3 linked regions of the Arabidopsis thaliana genome follow. The protein of the gene in region 3 interacts with the protein of the main gene of each other region in a pairwise test. Each region holds a gene or a part of one and is shown on either strand. Other genes may lie near its edges.

Region 1 (5,342 bases), on a different chromosome or scaffold from region 3:
AATCGAATATTTGAGGCGATGTTTACTTTTATGATATGTTGTCTTTAGGTATGGGATCTTGGTGGGCAAGATAGGCTAAGAACTTCATGGGCAACATACTATCGTGGAACACATGCTGTGATTGTGGTTATAGATAGCACAGACAGAGCCAGAATCTCTTTCATGAAAGATGAGCTAGCCAGGTTACTTGGTCATGAGGATCTTCAAAACTCGGTCATACTAGTTTTTGCAAACAAACAGGATCTGAAAGACGCAATGACTCCTGCTGAGATCACGGATGCACTTAACCTTCACAGTATCAAGAACCATGATTGGCATATTCAAGCAAGTTGTGCGGTTACTGGAGAAGGATTGTATGATGGGCTCGGTTGGATTGCCCAAAAAGTTACCGGTAAAGCCACGAGTTAAGGGGAAACCAGAACTGAATCAGAGAGAGTACGTACTATTCTTCTTTGTTTCTTTTGTCTCCTTCATATGTTCTTTAACATTGTATCCTCTTGACTTTTATGTAACAAGCTTCAACTATTTTGGTTGCTCTCATTGAAACTGTGTCCAGAATTTTCATATATGGAAGAAAAAAATCTTGTTTTGTTTCAGATTTAAAACTACCACCAAACTCAAAATCCAAACGAACTAAAAACAAAAACAGAGCAACCATTAAAACAAGACAAGACACCATTGTAGCCTCTCTCAGAGCTCACCACAGTCTGCGATAACCACCGGCTTGGAAGGAATCCTGTTCAAAGTTCCAACCTCGTCTTCAATGCTCCTGAGCACGTCGAGTCCTTCAACAACTTGCCCGAACACGACATGTAAACCATCGAGAAACGAGAACTTTTCCAAGACAATCTGGAACTGAGATGCATTGGTGTGGGGATCACCGACGGCCACTGTGCTAGATTTTCTTGTGGTGGCGTGAATTTGGCACTGTGGTCTTCTTAAATTAAGAGACACATCAAGATCAATAGATTTTTTACTGCACAAATGAATCAATTTTTTTTTTTGCCAATTACATCAAATTCACTGCCGCGGGAACGTAAAAACACAAACTCACTCTTCTGGAAGAAGTAGAGACAAAAATATTTTGAGAGAAGGAAAGGAAGATCAAAGAATGGAGCAGCCACATCGTTTTGCTTCTTTAGGGCCTTCGAACCATTGATCCCATGTCGCATTCACCGGACCTGTTGTTCTGCAAGTAGTCACAAAAGCAAACATATCAGACCTAATCATCTCACAGTCTATTGAAATGAAACTATCAGAAAACAGAAGAAGAATTACTCGGGAAGAAGAGGATCGGGTTTGCTGTCAACACTGTCTAAGAACCTGCATCCATTCGAGAAACTAGTCAAGCTTGTGGAATGATTATTCGTGAACCGGATATCAGTTATGTAACAAGTTCTTACTCTTTGCAGGATGCTGATGCATTGTCCATCTTCTCAAGCTGCTCCAGCTCTTCCTGAATATAATAAATGAAGGAAGAAAGTTAAAACCTTGTAACGCTTTTAAGCAAGCATTTGAGTTCACAAATGTCATAACAGCTACGTAGACAAGAGCTTAAACCTCAAGGGATCAAGAGTCAAGATATTATTACACCTGAATGAAATATGCTCAAGAGCTTAAACTACATTTCAGTTTCACTCCTCACCATTCTTGAACCTTCCTAATTACTGACCCTGGTGATTTGTTTTATCAACAGAAGCATATTGTTCGCAAAGGATCTACTCTCTCACTCAAGTAACATTTAGCATCACAAAAATCTCTTTAAAAGGAGACAGTTCTACACTACATTTCTTAAAGTCAGATCGATTCCATTAATCTAAGATCCAATCTTGTTAAGCATATAAAAAGGAACTATATCAAGAGACAAGTACTATTAACTCACTAAAAGCAACCCCACAATACCAACTGCTACAACAAAACCTGTTTTTTTTTTTTCACTCATTGAATACCAACAACAACAAAAACCCCTAAATCAAATTGATTCCCAAAACTAAAAAAGTTTCAAACTTTGAAAGTCTCTACCGTACTCCACTCAGATTTATACTATTCCATCCAAAAAGAGCCGAAGCACAAAAACAACAGATTGATCCAATCTGTAATTATATGATATAATCAGCCAAAAGGCCCAAGCACGTCGAAACAAGAAAGGGTTTAAGATTAAGAGGAGAGTAAAATACCTCTAAGAATCGAGCTTCTTGTTCAAGCCTTTTGAGTTCAGCTTGAATCCTGTGTTTGCCTCTTGTATCAACGACCCGCCCGGATAGCTGACCCGACGAATTGGAGCTACCCGCTTCCATCAAAATTTCTCGAATTCAACCCTCAAAATAAAAATCGAAACTTTAACAAAAACAGATAAGAACCACAATTTTACTCAGACTAAAAGATCGCCATTTGAATATGGGAAACTCATAAACCTTCACAAAACCCCATTTGTTACTGGTTGGATACAAAAATTACAAGGATTCAGAATCAAACAGATCTTGAGAACTCCAACAAACAAAGAGAATAGAAGCAAATTTTATGAGGGGGCAAATAGAAAATTCAAAGTTATGAGTTGGGGAGACTTGAAAAAGAGCTTTTCCGATGATCGAAAGGCGAGAGAAAAAAATATATATAAAAGTTGCGATTTTGAAAAAGACGAAAGTCGACGGAAATAAGAAAAACAAAACATTATTTCAGTCTTGATGGCCATAAACATAAAACTTTCTTCTTGAAACCTCAATAACTCATGTTTATTTTTTTAAAAAGTTAACCAATCATAAAATAGACCATATAATATATATATATAATTATAAAAATAAAAAAATCTATAATTTGCATAAAATTTTGAAAACATTCGAAACAAAAATTTCTCCAAAACACTTATATTGTGAAACTAAGGGAATGTTATTTTCATACTAATCATCTTGCACATTTTTCTTTCTTTATATATTCCCCATAATATTTTATTTCTCGTCATGATCGATCATTCCATGGATCCACATTAATTATCTTTAATCCAATATGTTTTATTATTTCTAGTTTTAACTTCAAAGCTTTTTTTTTTTTTTCTCAGCACATATAAGAATTGATTTTTATTTCCTAATTAATGATGATCCCCATTAGGCCATTATGCACCAAGATCTTCTAAAGAGATACATATCGGACAGAAGAATAGTCAGAAGTACAAATGGTCTGGTTTAAAATATTTGCTACTCAGAAGGTGAGGCAGATTTGACTGAAGAAGATGTTTATGAAGATAACGACCTAAGAAGAAGAGGATGTGGAAGACTTCCAAGATGTCAAAGAGTAAGAAGTTGAATATATATCCCAAAATGGTGGATGGTAATCTTTTAGTTTGAGCATGAACAACTTGCTCTTGTCTTTGATGTTTCCAAGGACTGATAATGCACCTGACCCTCTCACTAAAAAGACTCTGCTACTGAAATTCTGCTAGATAGATATATCGACAATGCCATCTAGTCGAGTCGCTGGTTCGGTTTTAAAAACTTTGTAGAGACTAGGCCAGATAACAGAAGCTATCTCTAAATTATATTATCGAAAACCTGAGGTTCCACCATCTTTAAATTTTAAAAATCTGATTAATATCATGTCCTTTAGCATGAAGCCATGTAATATATATATTTTTTTTTTTGATAAGAATGTAAATATCATATAAAATGAAAGTTTAGGAGTTACAAGAAGCAAAACCTACAAACATGGTCCCATGCCAAAAAAAGGAAAAAAACATGGAAGCATAATCCTTTCGAGATTCATCGCATCAACTAAACCTTAAGCGATGAGGCTCTTAGTAAGAAGATGAAGAAAACTCGATCTAAAGACTCCCCTAAGCAAGAAAGTGGCAACAAAAAAGAGCGGTCTAAACTATTGATCGACAAAAAAGCGCACAGGAAGTCCTTTCAACAATGGCCCGAAACAAACTGAGACGGAGCTATACGGGCAAAAATCGGCTGGCAATGCTTTCTCACTCTACCAAGCTCCTGATGAAGCCATGTAATATTTAGTAAAGTATCAGTCTAAAACATAGCAGTAATAAATCGAAGTACGAGCCAAGAAACATAAATCTTACTGTTGATGACATTCAAGTGACATACTTAATGTCCAAGAACTTTGGGTTTTAAGTGCGCGAAGTTTCGATATGTTTCGAACATATTGACGCTTTTCTAACTTGCTTTGCTGTTTCCTTTGGAATCCTGCAGGTTTCTTGATTTGCACTAAACTCGGAACATAAGAGCACACAAGTGGGCAACGTCTTTTATTAACCGGTTCTCCGAGATCAACTTGTCCACCATATCCAGCCTCTCCCATGATGTGAACTGTGTCGCCGCGATCCAAAGTTTTATCAAAAATCATAGCAACTTTCTTCTCCTCGTCGATGAAAAAACTACCATATGTCAGTGAACTCGGAATCTCATCACCCAAATCAACATTCACTGTCAAGAACTTGCTCCACAATACCTCATTGGCCTCAATCTTAATCGTAATCCAAACCTCAACAACATCCTCGTGACAAACTAAAGCCGCAAGCTTCTCCTCTCTAACACAAGCTAGAGTAACAACACCATCCAAATCACTAAACGGCAAAAGCAGAAGCGGACCAAACCTCTCACTTGTGAAATCAAAACAGATTATATGATCAGCATTGAGAAAAAGGTCAGAGTTCCTTTTTTTAGCACACCAGTAAGTGTTTCCCTTGAGAGTAACACCACGGTTACCACAATTTATCAACCAATGTGGAGTAGTAACATCAAGAGTCGTCCATAAATCAGACTCAAAATCATAGATTTCATACCACAAAACAACGTTGTCTCGAGGGTAATGGAATTCATAATCTATAAACCTCAAGATCTTGTGGTTGCGTCTCTTGTTGTCGTATCCAATAGCGTACCTGTACATGTCACATCCCTGGGGTATTTCGAAAGAACATCTGGGTTTGATCCACCTTGTTTGTCCCCAATACGGGTTCCAAACAACAAGACTAAAGTTATCATCTTTCAAGATACATAACAACAAACCCTCACAGTGAAAAACTTGAGATATCTTGACTTGTTCTGAATCTGAATCGTCGTTTAGACAAATACGTTTACCTTTAATCTCTACAGAAGTATCACTGCCGAAGAAGAAGCTCACTAAATGAAGATTGTGATCCATCAACACGACCATCTGAGACTCTCCTTCTCTTGCTGCTGCTGCTTTACTAATAAAGCTCCGATTTTTGAATAAAGAGTCCCACTTTTTGCAAGTCGATCTCACTGCTCTCGTAGACTTCAATGGAAGTCTTGAGAGTATCTCTTCTAAGGGCATCTCCAACCACAACACTAAAATTGTGTTAGAATAACACT
Region 2 (5,342 bases), on a different chromosome or scaffold from region 3:
ATATATTTAATAACATACTGAAAAATGGCCAGATTCATATAGCTAATTAAGAAGATAAACCAAAATTCAAAAAATATATAAAATAATCGAGACGGTCTTCGTAATTAAATTGTTCCTTGTGAATAGAAAAGTCTTGAATGTAGACAAAAACATACATAAAGAGAAAGAAATGTTACCAGCCATTCTCTATGGCCTTGATGGCCATGAAGATCAAGAGCCTTTACAGCAACCGGTTGGGCTTCGATACCCGGTTTAACCTTATCATCAATAAACCCTTTGTAAACCGGCCCAAACCCTCCTTCCCCCAACATGTTACTTCTAGAGAAATTATGCGTAATCACTCTCAGCTCAGACAACGTGAACAAACGAAGCTTCTGCGATGTGAAGGAGTGAGAGAGATCATCCATAACCGACATGGGCGAGCTTGGATCGCTTATGTCCGATAAAGACAGCCTCTTGAACGCTGGACAAGTTCTTATTTTCATTACAGCCTTCTCCCCTCCTTCGTATTTGCTTGCGTTCTTTGCCTTGTAACACCCCAAGAACAGAGATGTCAATGATGTTTTCTTCTTCTTGAACACTGCCATTTTCAACTTCTTCTTTTGTGTTATTTGGGGAAAAAATGGAGAAAGTTAGTCTTTTACTCCTTTTGATGAATCTTTTGTAGAGTGCGTAGGTTTAGAAATTAAGGATGTTCTAGTTAACCTACTTGTCTTCAAAGTCCTCTAATTTATAGTAGTTGTTGTGTCTTATTCGTACTGACCGACCTTTGAGTTTTCAAATTTATTTATATATACAAAAAGTTTGCTTTTTTTTTTTTGTATTAGTTGTATAAAAATGTTGAAGTTATTTTTGGTGGATATATTTATATTGTTCTAAGCTCTATGCTGATATTTTTTTCAGGAGAAACACGATTCCATGTTCACATTAATCCTCACAATAATATTGAAAAATAACGCAAGTTGTTTTCTTTTTCTAATCACAATATAATCAATATTATTGATTATAAATTCATTCAGTTGTTTGTACTTAGACTTCATCTCACCAAAGTCTACGGGCTATATAATTTTGCTTATATATTCAATGAATTGAAAATTGTCTCTCGCTCTACATTCCAAATACGATCTCTCGTTTCATTATAGACTTAGTTCTGTCTAATAGTTTTTGTTGTAATAATTTAGGTAATTTAAAAATGATTTTGTGAATTTAATGGTGTCTCTCTATATTCCACTATCTCGATTTCTAGTTTCATAAGACTAATTAGTTATTTACTAATAGTTTTTGTTCTAATAATTTAGGCAATTAATTTAAAAATGATTTGGTATACATTTCAGGCTGGCAAATAAATATTACGTATAAAGAAGATTTGATTCGCCTTGTTGAAAGGAGAATGAGATGATTAGGCCATAATTGGATGTCCGTTGACTTTGTTTCTTCCATGATTAAAATTTAAGAAGTAAGGAAGAGAAACAAATTTGAACCATTGATTTTGTTACTCTTAACTAAATAATCATTTATTCAATAACTAAAGGTCGGTTGGTCTTCAGGTACGAACGTTCTTCTATACTAACTTGTAAATTGTAAACGTAACAGATTGTGCAGTAGAGATTGCGGTTACAAATGTTTGACAACGATCACAAAAATTGTTTAACACCGCGTATTCTTCCGCCAACGTTTGCGGCAGCGGGTGGTTAAAAATTACACTATTTTTAAGTTTTAAATTCAAATAAATTTAATAACTTTTTTGACTCTTGGAGTCATGCTCTGAACACAAATGATTCATTTTCCGGAGAACATAAGTGCATTGTATCCGTCTAATCGTCCCAACATACTTCACTATAAATGTAATTTAATACTAACAATTAAATTGAAGTGTTGTTCGTCGCATGCATGTATGTACGTACAATAATTATATAGTTTCATTATCATAGAACTGTCGGGGAAATTGTGAATCATCACCAGCCGCCACATGAACTTATTTGCCGTTGTTCTGGTTTAAGGCTGGTAAGATTTATTCGGCGGCTGTAGGCCTGTAGCCCTTGAAATATGGTAGACAAGATCGTCCATATAATTAAGATTTTGTTTTTCACTTCTAAATTAATTAATGGGTGACTTGGGCGATTTTGTATTGTTGTTTAGTGGCTAGAAAGAAAACTTTTAACGATAAATTTACTTATGCAAAAATTATATTAGTTTAGTTTAGCAACTTTATATGTACTTAATTAGTAAAATAATACATTTAAATGTAAACTATTTGTACATATTAATGTTGTCCAAACAATATGCACTTTTTGAATTTTTTTACTGTATTCTCCACCTAGTTTTTCTAATTCATCCAAGCATTTTGATGAATTTGCATGTCTCCATAGATGAATTAGTATCTACTATCTCTAAAAACTCAATCTCCACCGAAGATATTGCTTAACCAATGTGCTCCTAGACCAAATCCAAAACCTTAGCCGCTTCATACTTAACATCCACTTTTGTAGCATCCTCAAACTGTTTTACAACCTTTTCAACCGGGACACAATCGCCTTGTCTTAGTAGTGAAGCGTAGGTTAATCATGGATGATGATTTTTGTTCTTTGACAACATCTGGTAAGGTTTTTGGTTTATGGCTCACCCTTTTTACTTTTTCGGTCTTTCTTATATAGTGTTTTGGTGGGTTTTTTCTCGTTCATTTTTCACGACCTTCTTATCCTATTACTAGGGTCATTAAATTGTTCGTTAGGTTAAAGAGATTTACAATATGAAACCGATTATGTCCATTAAAACGTGAATAAGACAGAAAAGAGCACCAAGAAAATGAAAAATAATTTAATGTATGTTCAGGAAATCCTATGAAAACATAATGATTGATCGGGTTTATTGGTTTTGTAGCTGGTGGTTTAAGTGGTTAGGGAAGCTATGTATTTATAATTTATTGATTCAATATGGTTTTGCATCTGAAATATATTTAAGCCCAACCAATAAATATACCATCACTCGCCAAGACCGTTTCTCAGTGGAAACATTTTGTGAGAAGTTCAAGTCGATGTTAATGATTGTAAGGATTTAACGGATGTGATGTTTTTGTAGGTTGAAGATTTAAAGTACTATATGATATGTTGTGTTTTTATCGATTTTGAATCTTTATTTTCTTTCCTAAATCAAAACTGCAATATATTTCCTAAGCTAGCAAAACCCATTCTAGATATAAGTAGAGTCCAGCTTGTAATGCAACTGCAAAGCAAAAATCAAGATATTTCGATACAAGGACTTGATGTCATAAAATTCCAAATTTGTTTTGTCTTGCCACACTTAGTAATTCTCTTCCAATAATGGTTAACTTAATAGTATATAAAATAAAAATGCATATAGGTTCCGTAATTAATCTTCTTTATCGTCACGAGAGGCACATCTTTTTTCAACATTTGACCACTCTCTCTCTCTCTCTCTCAGGACCTTTCGGCGTAATTTCGTCTTCCCCTTTGCTTAACATTTTCTTTCTTTCTTTTTGACCAAATATTAAAAATATATCCATTTTTATTTTATTTTTAATTAAATTCATAATTTGCATTTTATGTATTTATAATAAAAAGGAGAGAATAAATCCAAAAGAGTGAAGCAAAAACATTAAAGCGGAAAGAAAGTGGTAAAACAATAATAGAAACAGGAGAAGCAGAAGTACTACTTCTTCTTCTTCTGCTCTCTTCTCAGACCTTGTTTTGTACTTTCTTCTTCTTCTTCTTCTTCTTGTTTGCGAACTCCGATATCTTCTTCACTACCTTTGACTCCATTTCTTTTTCTTCTTCAGGTGAATTCTACTTTACTTTTCTTCTTACCCCAAATTTACTCTTTTGGGTTTTATGAAAGTTTTGTTTTTTATTACTCAGATCTTGTCCTAGTTCTCCTCCTTGTTCTGTTGTTTTTCTGTTTCGTTTCGAATTGGTTTTGTTTTTCAAGTTTAGGGTTTTGTAGATCAGTTCGTCGTTACTGTAGATTGGAAATGAAAATTATGATTCTTTGGATCTGATTATAGCAGTTCAAGTGTGAACTCTATCTATTACTTGATTTGCTATCTCACAGTTTTTGAATTTCTTAATGGTGTTAGCTACTCGACTTTTAGAGCTCATTTTCTTAACTACTGAACTTGTTTCATTTGAGAGGTACTAATCCAGTATATATTATAAAGTTTAATGCTTTTTCTTACTTGCATTCTTTGAACATGTTTGCTATTTTGGTGAGTGAAACTTTATGTATATTTATGAATTTTGAGCTAAAGTATTGATTGTTTCATAAGTAGGTGTAGGCATTGTCTTGTTATGAGAAGCAACTGTAGCTGGAAGCTCAAGTATTTGTTTTTAGCTGTGGAGCTTGAATCTTGATAGTTTTCGACTTCTATGTTATTACCTGTGGGGATATAGAAACAATCATGGGCTTACTCTGCAGTAGAAGTCGACATCATACTGAAGATACTGATGAGAATACACAGGTTGACTTAAGAGCTCTTGTAACACTCGATGTATGGGAGCATTATTTCTGATACTTCAAGAGTTAACTTGGTTTGTATTAATCTACAGGCTGCTGAAATCGAAAGACGGATAGAGCAAGAAGCAAAGGCTGAAAAGCATATTCGGAAGCTTTTGCTACTTGGTATGTAGACCTTGGATTAGAAATGTGAATGGCATGCCTTGATGAATCTTTTGGTAATAGTTTTCCTCTAATTTTCTGACTTGTGTTTTGTAAAGGTGCTGGGGAATCTGGAAAATCTACAATTTTTAAGCAGGCAAGTCCACAAGGAAAATTGATTGTACTCTTTACTTAAATTTACTTATGAATCCTGCTAATTGAATGATACAAATTTACTAATTTGCAGATAAAACTTCTATTCCAAACGGGATTTGATGAAGGAGAACTAAAGAGCTATGTTCCAGTCATTCATGCCAATGTCTATCAGACTATAAAAGTATGCAATACTTGAAATGACTGTGTCGGTTTTATCCTTCTAATTGGCGGTGTTTTCGAGTTCTTTTGGATTTACAATCTAGAGAATCATTTATATGAGTAATCAAATTTTTTTCATATGTTGATCTTGGTATATTGTACATGTAGCTTAATAGCTACTCTATATTGTTGAACAGTTATTGCATGATGGAACAAAGGAGTTTGCTCAAAATGAAACAGATTCTGCTAAATATATGTTATCTTCTGAAAGTATTGTAAGTGGTTAGATTCATAGGTCACTTGAGCTGTCTTTGTTAGAGTTTTGAGTCTTGTGAGTACCTTGTCTTATGGTAGTCAACTTATTATCGTAATATCAGGCAATTGGGGAGAAACTATCTGAGATTGGTGGTAGGTTA
Region 3 (5,342 bases):
CTCCAAAGAATTACCATTGCAAGCATCCATGTCAAGAGATTCCAGCAGTGGATTCCATCCTTCTGCAATAGTTTTGGCTCTATGCTTAACATTTTGTGAGAGAACAACAGCAAGGCAGTTGCGGTCCAGACCAGATAACAGTATGCTAAGGCACTCCATCAACATGATACAGGTTCTGCGCATGCCCAAGAGGTTAGCGTCTTTTTTTCCATCAGCAGTTGGTGCCTCCATAGGGTAAAACCCTTCCAAAGAGTCCAACACTAAGCTGGCTGGGTTTGCTGCAGCCCTGAACGCCATAGGAATCTCCTCCTTTAGTGATGCAAGGTTCTTGCGGTTATCTGATACAAACTTATGGAGACCCGTTGAGTCCATATCCCCGCACAGTTTCAGTAACTGTGGATAAGCCTTCACCTCATAATTTCCCATCACAGGTGAGATCTGAACATCTTGCACAATACCATCCGGATTATCATCGGTAATACTATCAGCAGCAAAGACATTGGATGAATCCTCTACAGCATTTTGTGGCCAACGTTCACCAACAGAAGGTTTACTGACAGGAGCGTTGTTATACTTATCCAAAGCACTGTTTATAGTAAACATAGCTGCGTCTCTCTTCTTCTGAAGCCTTTCAAGCGCCGCCTTCTCCTTAGCCTCAACAGCTGCCTTCTTTTTCTCCAACAGTTCTTGAGCTTTCCTTGTTTTGGTTTCATACTCTTTTTCTTGATCTTCAAGCTCATGAAACCTTCTCTTCAAAGACCTCTCAAGCCCATGAAAATGCTCCTCAAGTTCCTTCCACTTCAGATTAAGTGTTACAGCACGCTGACTTTCAAGTTCAGCAAACGCCTTCTGAAGCTGCTGAATCTTGGATGATGTAGAGTCCATGAGTGAAGCAACTGACCGAGTATCCTCCATCACAAAAGAGCCTAAATAAAACGGAAATTTAAGTAATGATTAAAAAGTCCCGAACAAATAAAAACAAACATGAGTACAACGACATTAGAGGCCAGACACAATATTGTTACCAATTCAAACAAGTCCAATCTCCAAGCTGCGAATAGAGAGCTCCACGAAATCTCGATCCTTGAACAACAAACAACTACAAAAAAAAAAATCATCAAGAACAGATAAACAAAGATCAGTCAAAACTATCCAATGACAATATCACTCGTTAAAGATAAAAACAAATTAGCTCTGTAACAAGACCGTACAAGTCATAGTGGACAACTATGTAAGAAAATGGCCTACAAGGCAAGTAAAGACAAATGAACAAGAAACCCCCAAAAAAATGAATCCATTCAAGAAAAATTCACACTATTTTTTAGTCACAAAGATAATTCAACCTCAAGAACTAATCAGACGTACTTATAAAAAAATTAGCTGAAATAATACAAATACAGATTAAGAGAAGAGTAGATGACGAAATGAGAGTAGAAACAAGCAAGCTGATTCAGTGATTCTATGAAATCCCAGCTTAATCCATCACATAAACAAACTTCACGACCAAAATTCAAGGTCATAGCAGAAATTTTGAGCTATATTGTGGAGAAATCAACAAACCCTAGCTACAGTGAAGAGAACACGAACATGAACTCAAAACAAAAAAAAAGTATATACCTCAAGAGAAGATAAAAAAAAAGCAACTTTACCAGGAAAATCAAACGAAGTAAAAACCCGTAAGAAGAAGAGATCAAAAAACTTCAAGAAGGACCACATGATCGTAGATCCATGGTGAAGAGCGATCGAGAGAAATCGAGGTTAGGCAGAGAGAGAGAGAGAGAGAAGAGGAAAGTGAAATCCCTAAAAAGGAAAGAGGAAAGTAGAAGAGAGGCAAAATAAAAGGAAGCAAAGCGATTTATAACAGACACTTTATTAAGCACACCCAATTTTACTTAGTTGGCACGTGAGAGAGACTGGTGTGGTTTAATGGCTCGTTCTTCACTATCATATCTGGTTCGGACCAGACAGCTTATGTGGCTCTAGTCAAACCCTTTAAAGTTTGCGTCACGTGAGTTTGTCTGAAACTGCCGGGAACTTGTAATTTACTCTTTCCTCCTTTTTTTCTATTAATTGGTATATTCACCATCTATGTGTATCAATCACTCTTTAAATTCCTTAACTTTTTTTACCAAACACCCAATCTTTTTAACCTGTTGACGAAGCTTTGGCTTCATGCTTAAGGCTATGTTATAATGGGGAAAAAACTAGATTGCACAATCTTTCATAGACTGATATTCTTCATCGGATGTTTCGATCATATAAATTGTCTCCAAGGATGAAACTATGTGTCTAATTTTTTTGAATGCAAAATTTATATATGATTGTTTTCTTAATAAGAGCAACAATGAAAATATAGTTTGGTTATACATTGGTATTTGTCAAAGAGGAAAGACTAAACCAAGAGTAAATAAATCTTACAACTTCCCAAATTGTTGGAATTCTACAATTGTATTATATATGGTGAATGATTTGGTACAAAACATTACAAATATCAAATGAATTTCGAAGTTGGTTCAGGTCACGAATGGCGGATTTGGCTTGGGAGAGACTAGAGGTTGTGATTCGTGGTTTATCTCCTCTCTAAAATCGTTATGTTACAAACTGACTATCAAGGATAATCATATCAATCAAGATAATGAAGAGAATCAATATCGTCAATCACGTTAATTGCTCATAATCATTGTATACAATATTAAGTTTCCTTCAGTAGCTTTCTAGTCTTTGTATATAAACACTCTGTAATCATCTTGTTTCATATATTCGATATACTCTTAGTCTACATGGTATTAGAGTCTCTGTATATAAACACTCTGTAAAATTTCTAAAATCGTTATGTTACAAACTGACAATACATAAACAACACGAATTAACATTTTGGGGTGTTTGCTGAACCGTGGTTGGCGGGTACATCTGCTAAATGAACAAGCTTTTTATATATATATATATATATATAACTGTCAACCCATAATTTAAAGATTCCAACAACAACAAAATAAGTACTACTCCTAATAAGTATTTAAATATGTGACATGATATTCAATTTTTGTGATACAAATTATTATGCATTGGTATTTGTCAAAAACTAATACCAAGAAAACATTTCTTGTAAATGTCATATTCCATTCTTTGATTTGGTCAAAACACCAAAACCATTTACAAAATATCCAGAATTATCTAAAAACGAATGAAAAGCGAAAAATACCAAATGGAAGAAAAATTTGTCCATCTCCTAACAAACAAGATAATATATATGATGATGTTGAAAAGTCAAAAAGAGAAGAAAGAAAAAAAAAACATTTAACGCGCAAAGACCGATTTGGTTTTTGTTGGGAGTCATTGCGTTCTCATCATCAGTGTCTCTCTTTTCTTTGCCCCATTCTTCACGAACTTTCACTAGACGACGACGACGATCCAAAGTCCCAGTCAACTCACTCACAAAGACGACTCCTTTATTAAATTATTCCCAACTCCTTTCTTCATCATCATCATCATCATCATTCATAACCACTTAGCCACAGATGCGATTTTCTTCTCCTTCTTCATTGTGCTCTTCAACACTTATGAACAAGAGCACCACCACCACGACAACGACGACTACAAAGACCAAAGCTTTCGTTTTGTGTTTCTGATTTTGATTCGTAAGTTGTTGTAAATTTTTCTAAGTCAACTTCAATTTTAAAGATCGCTTTAGTCTTTTTGATTCGCTGGCGATAATCCAATTTTCGTTGTTGCTAATAAAGTTTTGATTTTTTTTTATTTGCTTACAGGATTTTGATGCTCATCGAAGAGAACCCTTGATTTTGTTGCTGTAGTTCATAGAGATTTTACACATTTTGTGGAATTTAGTGGATTTATGATGATGGGTAGGTTAGTTTTTGTAATCTGGCTCTATAATTGTCTCTGTTTGCTGCTACTCTCGAGCTTGGTTGACGCGGATCAGGCCAACATAGATTGCTTAAGGACCTTTAAATCTCAAGTAGAGGATCCAAATAGATATTTATCGACTTGGGTTTTTGGCAACGAGACTGCTGGTTATATCTGCAAGTTCAGTGGTGTGACTTGTTGGCATGATGATGAGAATAGGGTTTTGAGTATTAAGCTATCTGGTTATGGTCTTAGAGGAGTGTTTCCTCCTGCGGTTAAGCTATGTGCTGATCTCACTGGTTTAGATCTTTCTAGAAACAACTTCTCTGGACCTTTACCAGCCAACATTAGCACCTTGATTCCACTTGTTACGATTCTAGACCTCTCCTACAATAGCTTCTCTGGTGAAATCCCTATGTTGATCTCCAACATTACCTTTTTGAACACTCTTATGCTTCAGCATAACCAGTTCACGGGTACTCTTCCTCCCCAGCTAGCGCAACTTGGACGGCTCAAAACATTCTCTGTGTCTGACAATCGTCTCGTTGGTCCTATCCCAAATTTCAACCAAACCTTGCAGTTTAAGCAGGAATTGTTTGCTAATAACCTGGATCTGTGTGGTAAGCCTCTAGATGACTGTAAGAGTGCTTCTAGCTCTCGTGGTAAAGTTGTTATTATAGCGGCAGTTGGTGGACTGACTGCAGCAGCATTAGTCGTTGGGGTTGTTTTGTTCTTCTATTTCCGTAAATTGGGTGCTGTTCGGAAGAAGCAGGATGATCCTGAAGGAAACAGATGGGCAAAGAGCTTGAAAGGACAGAAAGGTGTTAAGGTAAAAACATCATTGATTTGAATTTTGCTGTATGTGGTTATGTTCTAAATTTATGATATATGTTTGGTGCTTTTGTGAATGTTCAGGTTTTCATGTTTAAGAAATCGGTTTCAAAGATGAAATTAAGCGATCTTATGAAGGCAACAGAGGAATTCAAGAAAGATAATATCATTGCAACAGGAAGAACAGGAACTATGTACAAAGGTAGGCTTGAAGACGGGTCTCTACTTATGATAAAGAGGTTGCAGGATTCTCAACGCTCTGAGAAAGAGTTTGATGCAGAGATGAAGACTTTGGGCTCTGTTAAAAACAGAAACTTAGTCCCTCTCTTGGGCTATTGTGTTGCCAATAAGGAGAGGCTTCTAATGTATGAGTACATGGCAAACGGTTACCTTTATGATCAGTTACATCCTGCAGATGAAGAATCCTTCAAGCCCTTGGATTGGCCTTCAAGGCTGAAAATCGCGATTGGGACGGCAAAAGGATTGGCATGGCTTCATCATAGCTGCAACCCGAGAATCATCCATCGCAACATAAGCTCGAAATGCATATTGTTGACTGCAGAGTTTGAGCCAAAGATCTCGGATTTCGGTCTAGCTAGGCTGATGAACCCAATTGATACCCATTTAAGCACATTCGTCAATGGAGA

The links.
Region 1: the proteins of BIR1 (region 3) and AGG2 interact in a two-hybrid assay, tested with the Arabidopsis thaliana proteins (one study listed by BioGRID).
Region 2: the proteins of BIR1 (region 3) and GP ALPHA 1 interact in a two-hybrid assay, tested with the Arabidopsis thaliana proteins (one study listed by BioGRID).

The regions. Positions count from the first base shown.
Region 1 is NC_003074.8:8,131,430-8,136,771, reverse strand, and holds AGG2 (G-protein gamma subunit 2), read right to left. Parts: upstream 2,696-5,342; 5' UTR 2,298-2,695; coding exon 2,178-2,297; intron 1,457-2,177; coding exon 1,404-1,456; intron 1,324-1,403; coding exon 1,279-1,323; intron 1,190-1,278; coding exon 1,105-1,189; 3' UTR 568-1,104; downstream 1-567. Other genes in the region: ARFC1 (ADP-ribosylation factor C1), read left to right, coding at 49-408; AT3G22940 (F-box associated ubiquitination effector family protein), read right to left, coding at 4,066-5,304. UniProt on the Arabidopsis thaliana protein: Guanine nucleotide-binding proteins (G proteins) are involved as a modulator or transducer in various transmembrane signaling systems.
Region 2 is NC_003071.7:11,193,673-11,199,014, forward strand, and holds the start of GP ALPHA 1 (G protein alpha subunit 1), read left to right. Parts: upstream 1-3,323; 5' UTR 3,324-3,796; exon of another isoform or gene 3,797-4,148; intron 4,149-4,285; 5' UTR 4,286-4,414; coding exon 4,415-4,474; intron 4,475-4,562; coding exon 4,563-4,635; intron 4,636-4,730; coding exon 4,731-4,768; intron 4,769-4,858; coding exon 4,859-4,948; intron 4,949-5,123; coding exon 5,124-5,201; intron 5,202-5,303; coding exon 5,304-5,342. Other genes in the region: ARSK1 (root-specific kinase 1), read right to left, coding at 177-587. UniProt on the Arabidopsis thaliana protein: Exhibits a fast rate of basal nucleotide exchange. Guanine nucleotide-binding proteins (G proteins) are involved as modulators or transducers in various transmembrane signaling systems.
Region 3 is NC_003076.8:19,605,044-19,610,385, reverse strand, and holds the start of BIR1 (BAK1-interacting receptor-like kinase 1), read left to right. Parts: upstream 1-3,238; 5' UTR 3,239-3,638; intron 3,639-3,767; 5' UTR 3,768-3,853; coding exon 3,854-4,693; intron 4,694-4,779; coding exon 4,780-5,342. Other genes in the region: AT5G48385 (FRIGIDA-like protein), read right to left, coding at 1-915.